2 linked regions of the Notamacropus eugenii genome follow. The protein of the gene in region 1 interacts with the protein of each later gene in a biochemical or structural test. Links are inferred from orthologs where the notes say so. Each region holds a gene or a part of one and is shown in the gene's direction. Other genes may lie near its edges. The genes, in order: RNF4 and UBE2W.

Region 1 (10,639 bases):
GTGAATAACTTGTATTCTTAAAAATTTGACTTTTAAAAGTGAAACTTGGAAAAAATTTTCACAGTTATGATTACCGTATATTTCCCCCATCACATTTTTCCCCTCTTTATTGTACTCTCTCCTTACAACCTGTCCATCCTCAAAAGTGTTTTGCTTCTGACTCTCTCCTTTTAATCAGCCCCTACCTTCTCTTATCTCCTTCCCCTTCTACTTTCCTGTATGATAGATGATAACCAATTGAATGTTATTCCTTCTTTGAGCCAATTCTGATGAGAGTAAGGTTGAAGCATTGCCCATCCCCCACCTCATCTTCTCCTCCATTTTAAAAGCTCTTTAGTGTCTCTTTTATGTAAGACAATTTGCCCCATTCTACCTCTCCCTTCCTTCTTCTTCCAGTGCACTCCTCTTTCTCACTCCTTAATTTTATTTTTTTAAATGCCATCCTATCATAGTCAATTCACACCTATGCTTTCTGTTTATGCACACTCCTTCTAAATGCCCTAATAATGAGAAAGCACTTAGGAGTTATAAGTACCATCTTCCCATGGAGGGATGTAAACAGTTTAACCTTATTGAATTCCTTATGATTCCTCTTTCCTGTGTGCCTTCTTATGCTTCTCTTGAGTCTTGTCTTTGAAAGTCAAATTTTCTATTCAGCTCTGTTGTTTTCATCAGGAATTCTTGAAAGTGTTCTATTTCATTGAATATACATTTTTTTTTCTCCTGAAGGATTATACTCAGTTTTGCTGGGTAGGTGATTCTTGGTTGTAATTCTAGCTCCTTTGCTCTCTGGAATATTATATTGGAAGTCCTCTCATCCCTAAATGTAGAAGATGCTAAATCTTATGTTATCTTGACTGTAGTTCCAACATATTTAAATTGTCTTTCTGCTGCTTGAAATATTTTCTCTTTCACTTGAAAGCTCTACAATTTGTCTGTAATATTCCTGGGAGTTTTCATTTTGGGATGTCTTTCAGGAGGCGATAAGTCTGTTCTTTTGATTTCTATTTTATTCTCTGGTTCTAGAATACCAGGGCAGTTCTCCTTGACAATCTTGAATGATGATGTCTGTGTTCTTTTTTGACTTTCAGGTACTCCAATAATTCTTAAATTGTCTCTCCTCAATCAGTTGTTTTTCCAATGAGATATTCCATATTTTCTTGTATTTTTTCATTCTTTTGATTTTGTTTTATTGTTTCTTGATGTCTCATGTAGTCATTAGTTTCCTTTTGCCCAGTTCTAACTGTTAAGGAATTAGTTTCCTCAGTGAACTTTTGTACTTCCCTTTTTATTTGACAATTCTACTTTTTAAGGAATTCTTTCCTTTAGGGAATTTTTGTATATCTTTTTTCCATTTGGCTGATTCTGTTTTGTAAGTAGTTCTTTTCCTTAGTGAATTTTTGTGCCTCTTTTACCATTTGATCTATTCTGTTTTTTCATGTGTTATTTTCTTCAGTATTTTTTGTACCTCCTTTACCAAGCTATTGATCTTTTTTCATGATTTTCTTGCATCACACTAATTTTTTTCCTAATTTTTCCTTTTTGAAATTCTTTTGAGCTCTTCCAAGAATTCTTTTTGAGTTTGAGACCAATTCTTATTTTCCTTTGAGACTTTGGACGTAGCAGTTTTCACTTTGTTGTCTTCTTCTAAGTTTGCATTTTGATCTTCCCTGACACCATAGTAGCATCCTATGATCAGGTTCTTTTTCTGTTGTTTGCTCATTTTCTAGACTATTTATTGACTTTTAACTCTATGTGAAAGTTGGGCTCTGCTCCTAGAGTTCAGGGAGCACTGCCCCAAGATTCTGGGTTGGTTTTTTTTGTTGTTGTTGTTTGTTTTGGTGCAGCTGATTTCAGAGCTAGTTCTGAAGGTCTGTAAATTTTCAGTTCTTCCAAGGTGGTATGGCCTAAGGAGAAGCATGTTCACTGCTCTCATGGCCTGTGCTCTGGTCTATTAGTGACCACAGACACTCTTTTCTGCCTTGGAACTGTAATTGGAGCCCCCACTCCTTTACAGCCCTAAGCTCTAATGTGCTAGTGCTCTTTCTTGCCCTGGGACTATAACCAAGGACTGCAACCTAGATCCACATATGGGCAGTGCAACAGAGTCTTGTACCTAGTGCTAATAACAGAACCTCTGTAATCTCCTTTTGACCAGTTGTCTAACTCCCTTACCATCTATAGGCTAAGAGTTCTGGAATTTACCCCTGCCAATTCCATGGGTCCCCTCCAAGACCTCCTGCTAGTTTGCTAGGACATTGCCTGTACTGGATTGTGTTCCACTCTCACTTAGTGCAACACCTTGTAATGCTAATGAGAGTTAAAGATCTTCCCTGCCCATTGATGGGCCTACATGTTAAGGGAAGCTTGATTAGGAGAGGATCATACCCTTTCTTAATTTCTAATGAGGCACTGGGTTCTCAAGGGTTGTGATGACCTCCGGCTCTGAAAAGTATATAAATACTCTAAGGAGAGATTTTATTTTGAGGTTTACTCTTTGGAAGTGTTTATTTGGTCAGAGGAGACTCTGGGCAGCTGCTAAGGAGCCCCCTGGCTTTTTCTCCCTCTGGTATGTATGTATGGTCAGACAGTTGGATCTGTCTGTTAATCTGTGATGCATGTATTGCTTGGAAGCCCTGCCTGTTGGCTGATCTTTGTTTCTCTGAAGTTCAGGGTGTTTACTTTTTCCCCTGAAAATGTGCTTGATTAAAGTGATTGTTGACTCCTCAAAAGTTGCTTTCCTTTTAGAAAAGCAGATCTATGAATCTGGACAGCAGGAGCTTCTGTGATATGTCGAGGTGCTTGCTTTTCCACAACTGCAGTCCTTCTAAGTGGCCTTGAGCTAGAAAATTGTTTCACGTCCTTTTATGGAGCATTTTGAGGCATTATTTTAAAGTTCTTTGGATGGGAATTTGGGAGAACTCAGGTGAGTCATTGTCTTTACTCTGCCATCTTGGCTCTGCCCTCTGGGTTTCCAGTTTCAGGATGAGTGAATCAACAGTTCAAATTTTGACTCTGCTACCCACTAGCTGTGTGATCCTGAGCAGATTCCTTCCCAGCTCAAGGACTTACTTTCCTCATCTGTAAAATGAGAAAGTTGAACTCAGTGTTCCCTATGGGTCCTTCCAGTTCCAACTCTCAGGATCCTATGAACTACATCAAACTCTTTGCTTGACTCTCCCTCTTCAGTTGGTGAGCTTATGTCTCCACTAGGTCAGTATTAATATCTTGAAGGCTTGAGGTTAGTAAATTTCAATTCAACAAACATTCAAAGACCTGCTGTGTGCAGAATGCTGTTCTGGAAGGAGGAAAATACAAATTTTAGATGAGATATAGTCCCTATCTGCATAGGCCTTAGTTTAATAGGGGAATGAAATATAAGCATCAAAAACAATGGCACAAAAAAACACTAAATAAAAGATAGTTTCCTCAGTAGAAATGTGTTGGATTTGGAGTTTAGAACACCTGGGCTCAAATTCTGCCATGAGATCCTGGGCAAATCACAAAACCTCTCCTGGACTCAGTTTCCACATCTAATAATAATTAATAGTAAGCACTTATATAGTGCCTACTCTGTGCCACGCACTATGCTAAGTACTTTTCAAATACTATCTCATTTGATCCTCACAACAACTCTGAGAGGCAGGTGCAATTATTATTTCCATTTTATAGTTGAGGAAACTGAGGCAAACAGAGATTAAATGACTTGCCTATAGCTACACAGCTAATAAGTGTCTGTTTCCAGATTTGAACTCAGTTCTTTCTGATGCCAGGCTCAGCACGCTATTTCCTGTATGATCTAATGACCCTGTAAAAAGTCGTTGGTCTAAGTGATCTAATATAAGATAGATAGGCAAAGCATATGCCAGGCTCTGTACTAAGATCCACAGAGAAAAATGCAAGCAAACAAGAGGTCTTAGACTCAAGAAGTTTAGATGCTAATGAGGGAAGACAGAGGAGTTGGAAAGCGGAGAGGAAGCAATGATGCAGGAGAAGAGGAAAATTTCAAAGAGATTTCAGACGTGAGAGAGGCATGAGCATGACAGGGCCCTTTCCTAAAATGATGGTCTCCCTAGCTCAAAATGTATCATTTTATGATGAGTGCATTACTGTGGTGCCACAACATCCTGTATGAGCTCAGTAGGGAAGAGACTATCACCAAAAAGAGAGTAGAAAAGGCTTCCTAGGGGAAATGCCATGAGTTGGGCCTTGAAGAACGTGGTGACATCAGGCAGAAAGCGAGGATTGTAGGCATAGAGAACAAAAACACAGGCACAGAAAACGCACAAAGTATGTCTAGAAGACAGTTTGCATGAATAAATAGTTTGAGTAGAGCAAAGACTGTGTGTAGAGTTGAGTCATGTGAGATAAAGTTGGAAAGTTAGGTTTGTGCTAGGTCATGGAGGATTTTGGACGCCAAGCTAAGGAATCTGAATTTGACTCAGTAGATACCAGGCAAACGTTGAAGAGTCTGGAGCTTGGTGGGCAACATAACTGGATCTATGCATAAGGAAGACTAGTCTGAAAGCTCTAAGAAGGTGAGATTGGAGTGGGAAGATTGTGGAAATAAGAAGACTTTGTAGGAGGCTATTGCAAAGGTCCCAGCAGGTAGGGATAAGTGAGTACTTGTGGCTGTGGGGAAAGTGATGATGGGATGGATACTGTAGAGGAGGAAGCAATAGGGCCTGACAACTGCTTCGAGATAGGGGACTGGAGAAAAGGAAAAGTCCCATACTCTACTAAGGTTTCAAACATGGGAGACCTGGTGAATGGTGGTACCACAGACAGAAATAATGAAGTCATAAAGAAGAGGAGATGCTTCTTCCTCCAATTACTTTGTCTTATCTGGGCACATTATATCCTCTAATAGAATGTAAGCTCCTACAGGTCAAGGGCTGTCTCATTTTTTTCTTTCTATTAATACCTGATGCCTGACACAGTCCATGGCATGTACTACATGTTTATTAAATTGGGGGGACAATGAGGAACTTGGTTGAGACATGTTGAATTTGATGTGCTGGGAATGGGGTGGGTGGGGGATTCAGGAGGTTATTTAGCAAGAGGTCAAGTCAAGTCAACAAGCATTTATTAAGTACTTATTATGTGCCAAACACTGTGCTAAAATCCTGGGAATACAAAAACAAGCAGAAAGAAAGTCAATCCTTGCCTTCAAGGACCTAAGATGGGAAAAGATAATACATAAAATACCAAGGTACTTGATGGGGACACGATGGAGAAAGTCTGAAAATTCTGGAATGGAGCCCAGAGGAGAATGAAGAGGTATATGAGTGACCTGGGCATTTTTCTTAAAAGGGAGGCTATGGGAGAAACCAACCAATCAGAGGAAAGAGCTGCAGGGGTGGGGTATATTTGCATTGTGAGAAGGCCAGGGGTAAGAGTGAGCTTACAGGATGAAGTGAGGAGACTACAGAGGCAGAATGAATTTCCAGAGTGAGAAGGCTGCTGTCGCATGATGGGGAAATGTCTGGGGAATCAAGAATGGAATCCAGAGCGGAATGAAGACTAGCCTGAAGATAAAGAATTGGGAGGTATCTGCATAGAGGTTGTAGTTGAGGCCATAGGGGTAAATGACGTTGTCAGGGGAAAGATTGTAGAGAGAGAAGTAAAGAGGGCTTAGTACCTGTCTTCCTAATATTTCTGTATAGGTGAAACTACCTTAAAATGACTGTCAAAGGTAACTTTGAAGGGAAAAAACCACAGTCTCCTTAAGGAGATGACCTTTTGGAGGAAGAAGAGGCTGAGCCTCTATATGAGCCTTACATCTTTTGCTCAGTGCCAGACATGGAGCCATCCTTTTCTCTCCTCCAAGCTGCCTCTCTGAGTCATTACCCAAACCCAATACCAGCAGTGAGCCGACTCTCACCCCCAAATCATGGGGCCTAGTACAGTCACCTAGATTGTCTCTGTAAAAGCCATCGGAAGATATTTATAGACCATGTGTTACACTTATCCACTGACAAGTCCATGTGTGTGCAGGAGATAGATATAGCAACCCTGAGAAATTGCTTTCAGAAAGGATGTAAACATATGTCTACCCTGCTACCCTTTTGGAACAGAAGATTTCTGGGAACTGAGATGGGTAAGCTGGTAAATGTGATTTTGAATGGAAGTAGAATGTGATGAAAAGAACAGGAGGTCTGGGTGTGATGGTACACACCTATAATCCATGCTACCAGAGGAGGCTGAGGCGGATGGATTGCTTGAGCTCAGGAGTTCTGAACTGCAGTAGGGTTAAGCCGATTGAAGTGTACACACTAAGTCTGGCACCAATATTGGGAGCTTTCTGGAGCAGTGGGTCACCAGGCTGCCCTGGGGTGGGGTGGGAGTGGTGGCAAACCAACTTATATCAGAAATGGAGAAAGTCAAAGCTTCTGTACTTTGTCCCAGTAGTGGTATCAGGTCCAAGAGTAGCTGCTACACTTCCAGTCTAGGTGAGATAAGGAGATCCAGTACACACACACACACACACACTCACACACACTCACACACACATACCCATACACACACACACACACACACACACACACACACACACAAAAACACACACCCACACACCACTAGTCTCTTCTGTGTGCTTCAAATTCCTCATCTCTAAAATGAGCAAGTCTTTGAGATTTCCTTCTAAAAGAATGAAAAAATGAATGATGTGAATATGCAGGTACCACCAAATGAAAGATCATCCATCTAGGGTCAAAGGAAGAAGTGGTAAGTATGAGTAGCCGGACTCCCTGTTGTACTGAAACAGCAATTTGTGAACTTGACAATAACTAGAGTGAGGTTTGCTGTCTTCCTTGAGTGTATATCTGGTACATGACAAAGAACCAACCACTAATGACTTGTCACGGCCTTATGACTACTACTGGCTTCTGATGATTGACGTGGGCAGTAACTATATTGCCAAAAGAAATATAGTATGATCCATGGCTAGAACCTGAGGCTCTGGATCTCAAGATTATGTTCTAGAGGATTCCAGTAACTATTTATTTGACTTAAACCTCCATGTAAGGTTTCCCTTAGGAATATCAGAATTTGGTTCATTTTGTTCCTGCCCAGTATTTTCCCAGGGAATGTTTGTCTCATGTCTAAATGGGCCTTCACCTTCCATATAAGTACTCAGATTAAAAATATCAAACAATATAGAACAATTTTTATTTGATCTGACAAAATACAAATGATTCTAACCTGAGCCTATAAATGGTCAAACATTCTCCTTTTGCCTCAGGTAGGTCTTGGACTATTTTCTCTTCCATATCTAGACTTTCCCCATTGCTTGTCTGCATAAGAAATTCAATGGGAATTTTTTGGAAATTTTGCAGACAACATGAGGACAGCAGATGACACAGAAAACGTTTAGAAACTTAGAAATGCATAAAACATATGTACAGCATTGTATAATATCACCATATTTTGTCTTTTAATATTGTAATAATTCTCTGGTACCAAAGGAGGGCCAAAAAATATTTAAGTGGATTTCTGGACTATGGGGGGCCCATGTCCCTACCCTCTGTGATTTGAAAGGGTTAACTATATTTCCTTTTTGTCTCTGATCTTCAGGCTCTCCTTCTCTACTGCCTACAAATTTCTACATCTCCCCATTATTAAAAAAAAAAACCAAAAACCTTCCTTTGACCCTGCAGTCCCCTCAAATCTCTTCTTCCTTTCACAGCCAGCCTTCTAGGAAAAGAGTCTATATTGATGGCCTCTACTTCTTCACCTCCCATTTTCTAGCCTCTCGCAATCTAGCTTGAAAGAAACTGTTTTCTCCAAACTTACTGATGAAATCTCAACACCTTTTCCTAAGTGTTCATCCTAGTTGACCTTTCTGCCAATTTCAACTTTGCACATCCCCCCATCACACTGTATAGTCTCTGTCAACACCTAATACCAAGATCGTAGAATGTGAAAGCTGGAAAAGACCTTACGATGGCTCATCTTCCTCAAAATTTCTGAAGTTTTCACCTGCTTTCTCTTCTTCTGCCTAGTCTCTAATAAGACAGCCTTTTTCTCCTTGCTAAGACCAAAAGCTTTACTTGAACCCTTGATATACCATCTCTTCCCCTCTCCTTGAGAATGCCTTTATTTCCTGTCTCTCTCCCTCCTCCTTCCTCCCTGTTCTTCTTTCAATCTCTTCCTTTCCCTCCTCTCTCTCTGTCTCTGTCTCTTTCTATCTGTCTCTCTTCAATCTCTCCCTTTTTGCTACCCTCAAACATACACAGCTCTCCATTGATAACAACCTTCACTTAATCTTGCCATTTCCTCAGGCTATTATCATACACTTCTCCCCATGAACACCAAACTCCTAAATAGACATATTTACATTCACTGCCTCCACTTTTCACCATCCATTTACTTTTCAACCCCTCACAATGTGGCTCTTTGCTCTATCCCTTTTCCCCAAAATCATTGCTAAGTCTGATGCCCTTTTCTAGCTTCTCCTTACTTGACCTCTGAAGATTTTTGCACTTTTCATCATCCTCTCCTAGATACGCTTCATTCCCTCGACTTCTCTCCTGGTTCTCCTTCTACCTGTTTGGTCACCCTCAGCAATCTCCTTTGCTGAACTGTGTAGCATTTTCTACCTCATTAGGTTTAGGGCTCTGTCTTATGTCAATTTTTCTTTCTACACTTTCTCCCTTGCCAATCTCATTCACTCAAATGTGTTCAAATATCAACTTACTCAGATGACTTAAACATATATACAAACAGGTAACAACATGCTGAGCTCAGCAGGGCTGAGCTGCTTGCCCTCCCTCTCTAAAGGAATCCCTAGCAATTGTTCTACATGTACAAACCTGGTTTAGTCCTGAGGGTTCCTCATTCCCTAAAAAGAGAGGTCAGGATCTTTTTCTCAAACTTTCTGGCTCTTTATACTCAAACCCTTGAGTCTCAGGGAAAATCACTTAAAGCTGAGGTTGGATAATGTTCAGGGTCTCCTTAAAAGGGCATAGAAAAGTACTCAATGTGCAACATAGATCATGCATAGAACAACTGCATGCAAGCACACGCACACTTAAAAAAAGACCAGCACTCACTGACAAATTTGAAGCAATAATATAACTCTTCTGGGAGGCTGATACTTAAAACATTAAAGCAAGGAACATACTGTGGGATTGTCAGGTGGGTATTTCACCCTCACCTCAGCTCTGCACTGTTATACATTTCCTTCCAGGTCCACTGCTTCTGGCAAGCCAGGTCAAGTCTTTAGTTCATCTTGCCAGTCATCTCTCCTCCAAGAAGCACCATCCTTGCTTCAAGAGGCTTCTCTAACAGTATTGACTATGGAAACTAGGAGTTCCCAAATTCTTAAGGTAGATACACTCAGCAAAAGTCCTGCTCTCATGATCACTGCTTGGTCACCTATGATCAGAAAAAGAAAGAGGGTCTAACTCAGGCTCATCTGGGCATCACATGTGTTCACTGCCATGTGTGAATGATGGCTTTTAACCCCAAATCCCAGGGAGGAAATTTCATGTTCCTACTGGAGAAAAAAAAGAAGAGTTGAGAGAAAGTGAAAGCAATCTCTCCTTTTAAACTTAGCTGGCACTCTTCCCCCCCACCCCCATCATGGGGGACCAGAAGACCATTTAGGACTTGCTGTGTCATCCCAAATGCCACATCCTTCAACCTGGAGCTAAAATAAATATGGTTTACTAGAGGTGGCCCAAAGTCCAACAAATCTCAGGTGATTCTCCTGATTAGTTTCCATTACATATATGTATATATAATGTATAGATATATGTATATGTGTATATGTGTGTATACATGTATCCAGTCATAAACTCTCTCCTGAAACTCAGTCCTACCTTTCCAATTCCCCTACAGGCATCTCCATCTGGAATTTCCACTGGCATCTCAGACACAACATGTCCAAAACAGAATTTGTGTCCCTACTAAAGCCTTTTCCAAACTTAGCTATTTCTGTCACTCAGATTTGTAGCCTCAGGATAACTCCCTGTCTCTTACCCCCTTTATAATAAGGTGTGGCAGATGGCCTGCGTCCCTACGTGGCTCGGTGACAGCAGTGAAAAAAAAAGACACAGGCAGGCGAGAGAAGATAGGGCAACTCCCTTTATTGATCCGAGGGTCAGGGTATTTATAGACAGAAACTGTAAGTCTATGTAACATTCTACTCGACTCCGTCCTAGTAATTAGGCCAGTCTTATTGTCTTAAAGACTGTTAGCCTAGAGGGCATCTATTTTATGTATCCCTTGTATTTTGTAGTTCTCTTGTTATTTAAAGGAGACAGCAACATGGGGGGGAAGAGGGGGGGAGAGGGCCTGGAGAGCCATTCTGGATGATAATGAGCAGAGTCTCAAAGAACAGTTTCCCTGAAGGTCTATCCTGAACTTTGCCAACAGCGCTCCATCCTGGCCCTCAACTGTAAGGTATCAAGCACTATCAATTCTTTCTCCAAAATATCTCTCACATTTGTCCTCTCCACTTATAAAGCCACCATTCATATTCAAGTCTTTCTAACTTCATCACCTTTCTGCTAGGCTATTATAACTGCCTCCTATTTAGGGACACTGTTCCCAGACTGTCCCCTTACCAAGCCTCTCAAAATCATCTTGTTAAGGCAGTTCTCTGAATGTGTAACTTCACATTCTCAAACTTTGG
Region 2 (11,271 bases), on another chromosome or scaffold:
GGCTCTTCTCTTGATCATGGTTTTCAGGTAGTCCCAGAATTTTTACATTGTCTCTCCTGATTCTATTTTCCAGGTCAGTTGCTTTTCCAATAAGATATTTCACATTATCTTCCATTTTTCGAATCTTCACGCTATGTTCTGTGATATCTGTCTTTCTCATAAAGTCCTTAGCGTCCATCTGTACCATTTCAGTTTTGAAAGATCTATTTTCTTCAGTGAGCTTTTGAATCTCCTTTTCCATTTGGCTAATTCTGCTTTTGAAAGCATTCTTCTCCTCATTGGCCTTTTGAACCTCTTTTGCCAATTGAGTTAGGCTAGTTTTCAAGGTGTTAATTTCTTCAACATTTTTTTGGTTCTCCTTTAGCAGGGAGCTGATCTGCCTTTCATGCTTCTCTTTCATCCCTCTCATTTCTCTTCCCAGTTTTTCCTCCACCTCTCCAACTTGATTTTCAAAATTCTTTTTGAGTTCTTCCATGGCCTGAGCCCATTGGGTGGGCTGGGACACAGAAGCCTTGATTTCTGTGTCTTTGCCTGATGGTAAGCATTGTTCTTCCTCATCAGAAAGGAAGGGAGGAAATGTCTGATCTCCAAGAAAGTAGCCATCAATAGTTTTATTTCTTTTCCCTTTTCTGGGCATTCTCCCCAGCCAGTGACTTGACCTCTGAATATTCTCCTCACACCCACCTCACCTCCTGGTCCTCCCAGCCAGCGTTTGGGGACTGGGATTCAAATGCTGCTTCCTGCCTTAGGGCTTTGGCGGGGGCAGGGCTGCTATTCAGTGTGAGAATTAAGTTCAGATGGTCAGGTCGGGGCAGGGCCACCTCTCAGGCTCAGTTCCCTCAGGGGGTTTATGCACAGACCTTCCACAATGGATTCAGGCTCCTGCCCCCTTGGGGAGCCCCTGTCTGCAGCCACCTCTCAGCTTCTATCTCCCGGGGGGGGGCCCCGAGCCATGGGGACACCCCACTCCCCTCTCGACCCGCCAAAGAGACTCTCTCACCGACCCTCATCACCTGTGGGTGGGGGGGCTTGTGCCGCCGCTGGATATCCTGTCCCCATAGCCCGCTCGGATCTTTTCCTCACGGTGTCGCGGCCGCTGCAGGGCTGTCCTCTGCTCCCAGTCCCGGCGCCCAGTCCACAGCGCGAAGGACCCCCCATGAGAGGTTTGCAGGTCTCTCCGGAACAGAAATCTCCCTCGCTCCAATATTCCGTGGCCTCTGGGTGCAGAATTCGCCGTGAGTTACTCCCCTCTAGCCGTTCTGTGGGTTGTGGGTTCGGAGCTATGTGTATATGCGTCTTTCTACTCTGCCATCTTGGCTCCGCCCCTCCATGCATCATACTTTAGTTAGGTGGTACAGTGGATAGATTGCTGGGCCTGGAGTCAGGAAGATTCCTCTTCCTGAGTTCCAATCTGACATCAGATACTTATTAGCTGTGTGACCCAAAGCAAGTCACTTAACCCTGTGTTTGCTTCAGTTTCTTCATCTATAAAATGAGCTGGAGAAGGAAACGGCCAACCACTACAATATCTTCGCCAAGAAAACCCCAAATGGGGTCACAAAGAGTCAGACATGACCAAACAACAAGAAATTAAAACAAACTTCTTCTCCTGCTTCTTTCTATTTCTTTTAGGCATCACAACATTCACTGATAACAGTGGCTGCATCTTACATCCTTTAATAGTTGATTAAAACTTTTCTCTTACAGGATCTTAATAAATGATTGTGGAATGAAAGCAGTTGGAACACAATAAGGAGAATAGCAGTAATAAGTCTTAAAAAATAGGTCCATAAGCATTTGTTAAGAACTTACAATGTCAGGCACTGACTAACTATTGGGGATTGAGAGAAAGGCAAAAGCAGTTCCTGTCTTCAGGAGTTTGTGATTTGTAGGTAATGTCAGGGAGGGAAATACTGGGGAAGGCCTCTTGCAGAAGTAGTATTTGATCTGAGTCTTAAAAGAAGCCAGGAATTTGAAAAGAAGGAGATCGGGAAAAGCAGCACTGGGGGAATGGGACTGGCGGTGAGAGTATGGCCAGAGCACGCCAACAGAAGCTGGATATGAAAGGTCATGTGCCAGAAATAGTAAATAGGCTAGTATTTCTGGGTCAAACTAACATGGAGAGGAGTAAAGTATAAGAAGAATGAAAAGGTAAGAAGGGGTTATGAAGGACTTTCTTTAAATGCCAAAGAGATTTTATAATTGATTCTAGAACTAATAGGGAGCTACTGGAGTTTATTAGGTATGGAGTGTGGCATGATGGATGCCTTAGAAAAATGACTGAATCCTGAGCAAAGAATAAATTAGAGCAGGGAAAGACTGTAGGAATTCTAGGGGAAAGGTGATGAGGGCCTGAACCAAGATGGGGGCTGTGTGAGTAGAGACCCATATAAGAGATATTCTGAGAATATGATTATGAAGAGCTTAAAATATCAGAGGAGTTTGTATTTTACTTAGAGACAATAGAGAACCACCAAAGTTTTTTGAGTACAATAGCGTTTGGCCGAGGATGATGCTTGTAATTAATTATTTGCTGTCACTTGGCACTATGAGATATCGTTAAGGTGGAGGTCTGTTTTGAATGAAAGTTTCCTGAATGAATGTTGAATGAAAGAGAGCTGGGTTCTAATTCAAATTCCACCGAATACCATTGTGTGTCCTTGGATAAGACACTTCAGCTTTCTCTGTTTTCCTTTGTTCTGGGACAGGTGCACACAGGTCTCAAGTGCAGATACTTAATGAAGATCCACAATGAGTTGATGAACACAATTCTCCAAGTACCTCAAATTCCCCATGGGGATGCTCTTAGGTTGGTAACAACAACAGCCCTCTCCTGAATGAATATTTCAGGTCCAACAAACTATATTCTATTTTTAGTACTTGTATAAGGGGTTCTTCACATCACCAAAAGGAGGCCTTAGTGCACTTAGTCAATTAGTTAATCCAGTAGGATTCTATTGCTTAATTTGGAAATTGAGTGGTCTACTTGTTTCCAAACTCCTGAAACCCCAGAAAAGAAAGTTCTCTCCACTAAAATCCTTGGCAACAGAAAAAAAAGGGTCAAAATCAGAAATGGATTTGGTTTATCAATGGAAATGACACTAAAGATGTATTACTGACTGCTTTGCCACTGTACTCTAAAGATCATCTGTCCTGAAAGTAAATTCTATACATTGTCTCCCCAGTTAGAATGTGAGTTCTTTGAAAGCAGGGACTGTCTTTCTTTTCTATTTGTAGCCCAAGCATTCAGCACAGTGCTTGGCAGAAAGTATGACAATATTTAACTTAACAAATGCTTTTTTCATTAGTTAATCCAAGGCATAATATTCTTTGCTACCTATATCAATATTCTGGGGCTTTATATTGTGTGTGTGTTCATCCTTCATTGCCAAAGAAGACTAGGCCATCAGAGAAATAATGACATGACTTGCACTTGACTTTGTTTGGAGTGAGGGAGGGCTGTGAGGTCACCAGCCTCACCTGTCCTCTACAGTCATCTGAATCCAGTGACCAGATATTCATCAGGATGACTGGAGATGACCCAGGATGAGGCAATTGGGGTTAAGTGATTTGCCCAAGGTCACACAGTTAGTGAGTATCAAGTGTCTCAGGTGAGATTTGAACTCTGGTCCTCCTGATTCCTGCACTGGTGCGCTATCCACTGCACCATATATTATATGACATATATACATATATATAATATATGACTCTGAATGTATTTTGAATATCTAACTAGATCATTTGGTCTTGTCAGTTCCTTAGATTTCAAGTCATAAATGAAACATGTGGCTGGTACTTGCTATGCTGTTCATCTAAAGAATTAAATGTTGAGTTGTTTTCAGTTATGTTTGACTCTTTGTGACCCCATTTGGGATTTTCTTGGCTGAGATACTGGAGTGGTTTGTCATTTCCTTCTTCAAATCATTTTATGGATGAGGAAACTGAGGCAAACAGGTTTAAGAGACTTGCCCATAGTTACACAACTAGTAAGTGTGTGAAGGCCAGATTTGAACTCAAAAAGAAGAGTCTTTCTGATTCCAGGCCCTGCACTCTAACTACTGACACCTTGTTGGCCTAAAGAATTAAATAAGTTAACTAAATTATCTCTAAGGACCTTTCCAGCTAGAAAATTCTGTGGTTCTATAGTTTTCTGATTTCTCCAATGACTTCTCCATCGCATTTAGCATCCCTGCTAACAAATACATTGAAATTCATATGACCAACAACTTCAGATTTGATAGTGATATTATGATTTTGTCCAGATTCTTGAAAAATGTCTCTTCCTTATTGACATCCATAAGGTTTGGGGTCAAGGCATTAACAAAGGCATTACCCTTTTTTGTGAACATAGGATCATCAAGTATTTTTGCCTTAAAAAGTGCTAGATCTGTCTAGGTATTCATGTTTGACAGTTCAGCTCTAATTGTTAAGCTTCTTCTTCTTTTTTTTAATATTGAATATTTCTTCCCTCTCAGTGTAGTAATTTTGACCGGACAAAACTGTCTTTTCACAGCTTAGACTACATGCCTTCCGGACTATTGTTGATAAAATTGACTAATTTTTCTCCGACAGAGAAAACCAACCAGTTTCTCTAATCTACGCGGTCAGGGAAGTTAGCAAGTAAAAGCAAGCGCTGCTGTAGCTGAGAATATATATTTTGACATCAAAACCATGTAGTTTCATAAGATTTGGAGATGTCCCCCTTGAATATGAACAATCACAAATCCTATACGTTAATGAAGAATAATTAGTATATTTTCCAACTCCTTCTTCTTCAAAGTCACTTTTGAAATTTCATGGGAAGTTTTTTATTTTTTTTCAAAATAAAGACAAATATAAGAAGTAAAAGACACCGTTCTAACTTTAGAATACTTTTAAATCTGAAGTACTCGCGTCTGCTTTGCACAGCATTACCTAGGTGGTTCACATACACGTGCTGCTTTCACGGATGACAGTCTGAAGTTTTTTCCTGGGTGAAGGTTTGCTTCTTACAGAGCATTTTTCATCCTCCAGATCTCGAATGTTCAGGGAGATCTTGTGGATTGTACGCCTCCCGCACCCCCATCCCCAGACGTCCGAAGTTCAGACAGGTTCGTATGTGTAACAGAAATTACAGTAAAAAACAAAATAGATCCACATATTCAGAGTCATTCACACACCGCTCCCCACCTCTCTCCAGCGCCGACTCTGTCCTCTATTTAAAGGCAGCAATGGTGCCAGCACTTGCAAAGTCTACACTTCGGAGGACAGTCACCAGCACGGATGTGCAGTGAGTTCGGAATGCCTCCGCCCGGGGAGCGGCAGGATTCCGAGGCCCGCGCCCGGCGGGTCGGGGCGGCTCCGGGGGCTTGTCGGCGTTTCTCCGTCCTCCCGGCGCTTGACCCCGCGGCCGCCCCGGCAGCAGCGCTCCCCGAGCGCGGGGCGGGCCGGACCCACCGCCTCTGCAGGCACGTCCTCGGGCACATCCCAGCTCATCTCGGCGGACCGGTTCCGCTGATTACCCCTCGTCCTACCGCCCCGCGGGGACGTGGAGACCTCCGGGGCTAGCTCCACACTAAGGCAGGGTCCCGGGGGCGGGGGCCGCGAGACTGTGAAAGTCAGGAGGAAACGAATGGTCCAGAACGCGGGGACCAGAAGGAGCTAATCCCCGGACCGAGGCCAGCCGGCTCCCCGCATCTCGCCTCGGAGCCCTCCCGGGCCCTGGCACTAAACTCCTTCCCCCGCTTTCTCTTGTCCTCCCCCTCCCCCTCCCTCATTCTTTCCCGGGTGCTTCTGGGCGGGGCCGCCTCGGACGTTGGGCCGGGATGGCTGGGGGGTGGGGGGAGAGGACCGAGAAGGAGGAGAGGGAACTGTGAGCACCTGCGGGGCTCCCGCCCCGCCCCCACCTAGGCCCGCCCCCTCTCGCGGCTCGTGGGCCCAGCGGCCAATCCGGATCTCGCTCTCCCTTCTCCTGCGGTCTCCGACCCCCCGCCCCCAAGCCCGGATCCTGGGATCCCGCGGCGTGACGCGAGCACGGCGGCTCCTCCTCCTGCGTCTCTGGCTGCGCCGGGCAGGGGGGATGGTTCCATCATGGCGTCCATGCAGGTGAGAGGAGTTTGCGGCATCCGAACGCCCGGCTGAGGAGGGGTGAGGTTGTGGGATTGGCTGAGGGCGGCGGCGGCGGCCGCGGGAGCGGAGGGCTGCGAGCCTGCCGGGGTCTGCGGCGCCGGGCCGGCTCCGCCTCTCCTCGCCCCCGGCGGCCGCGGGGAAGGCGGGGTACCACCGGCCCGCCCTAGCCGACCCCGGAGCCGGAGAAGTTGGGGGAATGGTGGGGGGAAGGGTGCGGAGGGCTGGGTTGGCCCGAGCCGTGGCCCCCCGGCCGCTCCCCTCTGCCTTCACGGCCCAGGTTCCCCTGCTTGCCCTTCTCCCTGTCCCGAAAGGAAACAGCTGTTTTCCCCGTGGGCTTCGTGACCGCCTCGGCGTCCAGACCGGAGTGAGAGGGAGGATCTGTGTCAAGTGGGAGAGACCGAGAGACCCCGAGGTCGGTCCCCGGGGACGGCGGCTCCGGCCGGGCCTCCGAGGCTCTTCCTTTGGCCGCCTTCCTTCCCTTCTTCTCCCGCTGCCTCTGCTCCCCACCTCTATGAGTAAAATACCTTCCCCTTCGCCCTTGAATCCAGTGCTCCTTGTAGCTACAGTCACTCCCTTGACCGGCAGCCTTCGCCTCTGGCTCTCCCCTGCCCCGTACCTTATGTAGGACATCCTCCCACTGTTTAAAGTCTCACCCAATAATGCTCCAGTCTGGGTCTCCCCGAAACTTTCACGTACCGGCTCCTCTGCTGCTTCCTCACCCGATGTGTAATCCCCCCGGCCCCCAGAACTAAGTACCCTACTTTTAACCTTGGTCGCAGTTTTACCGTCCTCTGCTTTCCTTTCTCCAAACATTTTAGCGAAACGCTTTTTAGTGGGAGTTTATTAATGTCATTTCCACTGGAGTTTTCGATGAGGAGTTAGAGACCCTTATCGATACTGTACCGTCCGAAGACTGCCTGGACAGATGGCAGTGTTCTAGTTCGTTGAAATGGATGGCACATGTGTTCATTCAAAGGTGACTAGAATTACGAAAATGTTAGTTGCTTGGAAGAGAAACTAAGTCCGAGGTGTGAGCTGTCAGCTCAGGATTTTTGGAGCTTAAGGACTTAACTCTTCAGGGAACAAAACTGCTTCATTTTGCTTCACGCCGTTAAAAATAGCTCTTTTGTTTTTTGGCTTCTGAAAAATGTAAACTCCTCCCAGCTTTTTCTCTTTGTAAGCTGTGACAACACGATCTTCCTTTTCTCCTCTTCCCTTTTCTGCATCCTTCCCCTTTTGTGCACACACCATCTTTGTTCCCATTTACCTCATTCTCCTTTTATTATTCTCTGTGCTTTTTCTCTTGCCTTTCCTTCCCTACTCTTTCATGCAACACACAAAAGGTTATATATTTATTTTTGTTGAAGAAATACAAGGAAAGATGTAATTAAATTAATTTGAGGGGAAAGTGTCAGTTCAATATGTGGAAAAAATTCGGAGTATTAAGTACTCAGGAGAGTTTGATCACGGAGGATCGATGGAAAGTCCATCTATCATTTAAGACTCAGAAGGAGAAATGTAGGGAGAAACCCTATGTTAAATAGAATTTGAACTAAATGTTCAAATAACCTTTATTGTGGGGGAAAAACTATCATATGGGATTATTTGGTAGAGTGTATTACAGTGATAGTGACTTGCAGCAAAATATTAAGAGTAAAATTAGATCTGAGGTTCTGAAAGACAAGATTATAACTGGTTTTTTTTTTTTTTTGAAAATGAGAAGGGAAATTTGAATTGTGAGCAGAAACCAAGTTGGGACAGAACTCAATTTTTATCAACTTAGAGTTTGACAGACAGAGGCAGTATGAAAAATGTAGTCCACACAGTATGTATATGTATATGTGTATGTGTATGCATGTTTTGTGTTCCAAGCATCACTCTTTGTCCTAAAGCTTTTAGTGACTTTAGACTAGCTAACTGGGGAAGAAAACTGGTTTTGTTTTTGTTAATTAGAAATATATTTGAAATTTTATTCTGGAATCTCTAACACTAAAGTTATCCCCTGCATTTGAAATTCTAAAATGTTGGTATACACTCTCTGATGTGCAAGCCTTAACACTTTCTTTGCTTTTGATCATAAAGAAAAGTCAAGTCTCTTGAATGATAGAAAAACCTTGAAATTTAAGTCTACAAGACTATTTTGGAAGATGATTTTATTCATGTTTTTTTGTCTTTTACATTGGTCATTTCTTAAAAGGGAAGATGGGATGATTAGAGTATAGAAATCCTTTCAGATTGAGGCCCTCCCTTATAACAAATTAAAACAATTAGAAAATAACATCTGATACAATAACTATATCTTACAATACAATACTCTAGCCTAGTATCATTTCCCTGCTTCTGTGAGGAGGGAACTATATTTCATTATATATTCTTTGGATCCTTCATTTTTTTTCCAGTTAACTGTACTCAATTCAACTTCCTTTAAATGATCTTTTCATTTCTATAGTTGTAGTCATGAGATATGTTACTCTTTGGTTCTGTTTATTTTGTGCTCCAAGGTCATATAAATCTCTTTTTTCCGGATGCATAATATTCATACAGCATAATTGGTTTTTTTTCCCAACCGTTTCCCAGTCAATGGAATCTATATCATTGTTTACTTTTTTTTTCTACTATAACGAGTGCTACTATGAATGTTTTGCTGGATCATTAGGTCAAAGAATATGGACAGTTAAGTTCCCTTTTCTTTCAGAATTCCAAATTGATAACCAGAGCTATCAAACCATTTGATGGATAAGGCACCTAATTTGTACAGTGGAAAGAGCTGTGGATCTGGAGTCATGAAGACCTGAGTTCAAATTCCATCTCACACACTTATTAGCTATGTGATCTTGGGCAAGTCTCTTAATGTCTCTTTGCCTCAGTTTCTTCAGCTGTAAAGTGGGAATAATAACAGGGTCTTACCTTACAAAAATATTGTGAGGATCAAATGAGCTGTTTGTCCAGTGCGCAGCACAGTGTCTGGCACACAGTAGGTACTTATATAAATACTTATTCCTTTCCCTTTATATCTTCATCAACAGAATATTAATGTTCATGCCTTCCCACAGCCCCATTAATGTTGACTGTTTTTTTTTCTTTTTGCAATTTTGCAAGGTGTTAGGTAATTTCAGCTATTGTAATTTTATATTTCTCTTACTATTAGTATTTTGGGAAATATTTTCAAATGATTATTTATAATTTGCAATTCTTTTGAAAACTGTTCATCTTTGACCTCTTACCTATTGGGAAATAGCTCTTAGAATTTGTGTCATTTCCTAATATATCTTGGATATTATGCAAGTCTATTTTCATGTTGTCCTTGGTGACTAGATTTTTTTCCTGAAAAAATTTATTAGTTTGTAATACATTATCCTAGATGACTAAAATATCTACTGAAAAAGTAAACAATATCTCAAAGCATATTTCATTTGCTGGGTTGTGATTGATGGTCTTACCATTTAAGAGATATGAGCAGGTTCTTTAATTTTCTTGATCTAAAGAACAATGTCATTATCTGGACATAATGCTGCTACTAAATATTAAGAGGGTAAAGCCCTCTACAGGTTTGTAAATTGACATAAAATATATATTAAAATAACGAGGCATAAACACAAATAGACATGAAAAAAATTAGTTTCTAGAACCAATGTAATAAAATCAAAGGTAAACAGACTATTTTAGAGTAGTATTTCCTAAAGATGAAATCTGAATTTTTTAAGAAAAATTTATTTTGCAATCTCAAGATGTATATTGTATTAGTATTCATAGATTTAAACAATTGAAGAGCTGATAAGGACTAGAGATCATCTAATCTTAACTTATTTTTACACGTATGGAAATGAAAGCCTGACTTTTCCAGTGTCCCAAACTAACATGAAAGGCCCTTGATCACAGCCCATTTTATGCTTTCTATTAAGGCAGTAGTTTTCAAACTTCTTCCTTATTTGTGGTTCCTTTTGGAGCAATGCCTCCCTCATTTTTTTTGTCTTAAAAAAAGTGAACTTAAACATTAACATGAATATTTCAACTACGCCCTGCCTCTGACACACGCTGGTTGTGTGACCCTGGGCAAGTTCCTCTAACCTTTTAAGCAACTTTCTAGGGTTATAAATTACAGAGAAGGCACATTTCTGTAAGGAGTTTCCTAACCTGAGAGTTTTCAGGATCAATAATTTAGAACTGGAAAGGGACCTTTCAGGTCACCAAACCTAGAAAACAGATTTAACAGATGCAGAAATTGAGATTGACTTGCTTAGGGTCACACGGTGTCTGGCAGGATTTGAATCCAGGTCTGCTTGACTCCAAGTTTTGCACACTATCCCTTCATGAAGAAATTGTCCCTATGAGTATATAAAATTTAACATTATAGTAACCAAACTGCCTTTCTTACCTGTGTCCCCTTCTGAACTTTTATCTTTTTCTTTTAAAAAAATTTGTTTTATTGATGTTCTTTTCCTAAATCAGTGTAACTACCTACCAGTCCACGCTCTTGTGAATGAAATTAATGAATTAAAAAGCATATATTTTATTTTGTTCATTAGGTGCAAGATTGCTAGTTTGTGGTGAAACAAAAGAAAGTCCTTATTGACTTCTACCAAGGGAAGATAGTGTATATATAAGGGATAAGTGATATGATTTAGGAAGTCACTGGTTGGTGAGTGGAACCTCAGGGGAACGTCCTTTCCAGGATAGTATTGATTTAGTTATTCCAAGAGCCATATTGGGGTTGGGGAGGGAGATGGTGGTGGTTACCTTTTGACACAGCTTGAAGCAAGTCACTTATGGAGATTTCTTAGCCATCCGGAGCAAACTTGACCCCAGGGCAAGAGTGGAGAGCTGAAGGTGAGGAGATATGGCCTGAAGGTGGCCGGAGAGCTGCAGGCAGGTTGATGTAGTCTGGCTAATTATGGAGAACTCTCACTTTGAAAGACTAAAGAACTTTGGTCAGTCCTGGCCATAGTAGCATACTTAATGCTTTCTTGGTAACTTAATTAATGCTTTCTAGAGAGGTGCTGGGCAAACATTTAGAGGCATAGGTTGGGGAAAAAACATTAAGTGTTTACTGTATACCCAGTACCAAGCACTGGGGCTACAGAGAAAAAAGTGACCCCATCCATACTCCCAAAGAGCTCACATTCTAATAGGAGGAGACAACATATATAGGAAGTTTCAGGTAGA

Evidence for each region.
Region 2: the proteins of RNF4 (region 1) and UBE2W form a complex in vitro, tested with the Homo sapiens proteins (2 studies listed by BioGRID). The link is inferred for Notamacropus eugenii from reciprocal best matches to the Homo sapiens genes RNF4 and UBE2W.

What each region holds. Positions count from the first base shown.
Region 1 is NC_092877.1:52,190,922-52,201,560, forward strand, and holds the start of RNF4 (E3 ubiquitin-protein ligase RNF4), read left to right. Parts: upstream 1-5,412; 5' UTR 5,413-5,516; coding exon 5,517-5,549; intron 5,550-10,639. UniProt on the Homo sapiens protein: E3 ubiquitin-protein ligase which binds polysumoylated chains covalently attached to proteins and mediates 'Lys-6'-, 'Lys-11'-, 'Lys-48'- and 'Lys-63'-linked polyubiquitination of those substrates and their subsequent targeting to the proteasome for degradation.
Region 2 is NC_092875.1:294,723,271-294,734,541, reverse strand, and holds the start of UBE2W (ubiquitin-conjugating enzyme E2 W), read left to right. Parts: upstream 1-6,244; 5' UTR 6,245-6,304; coding exon 6,305-6,520; intron 6,521-11,271. UniProt on the Homo sapiens protein: Accepts ubiquitin from the E1 complex and catalyzes its covalent attachment to other proteins.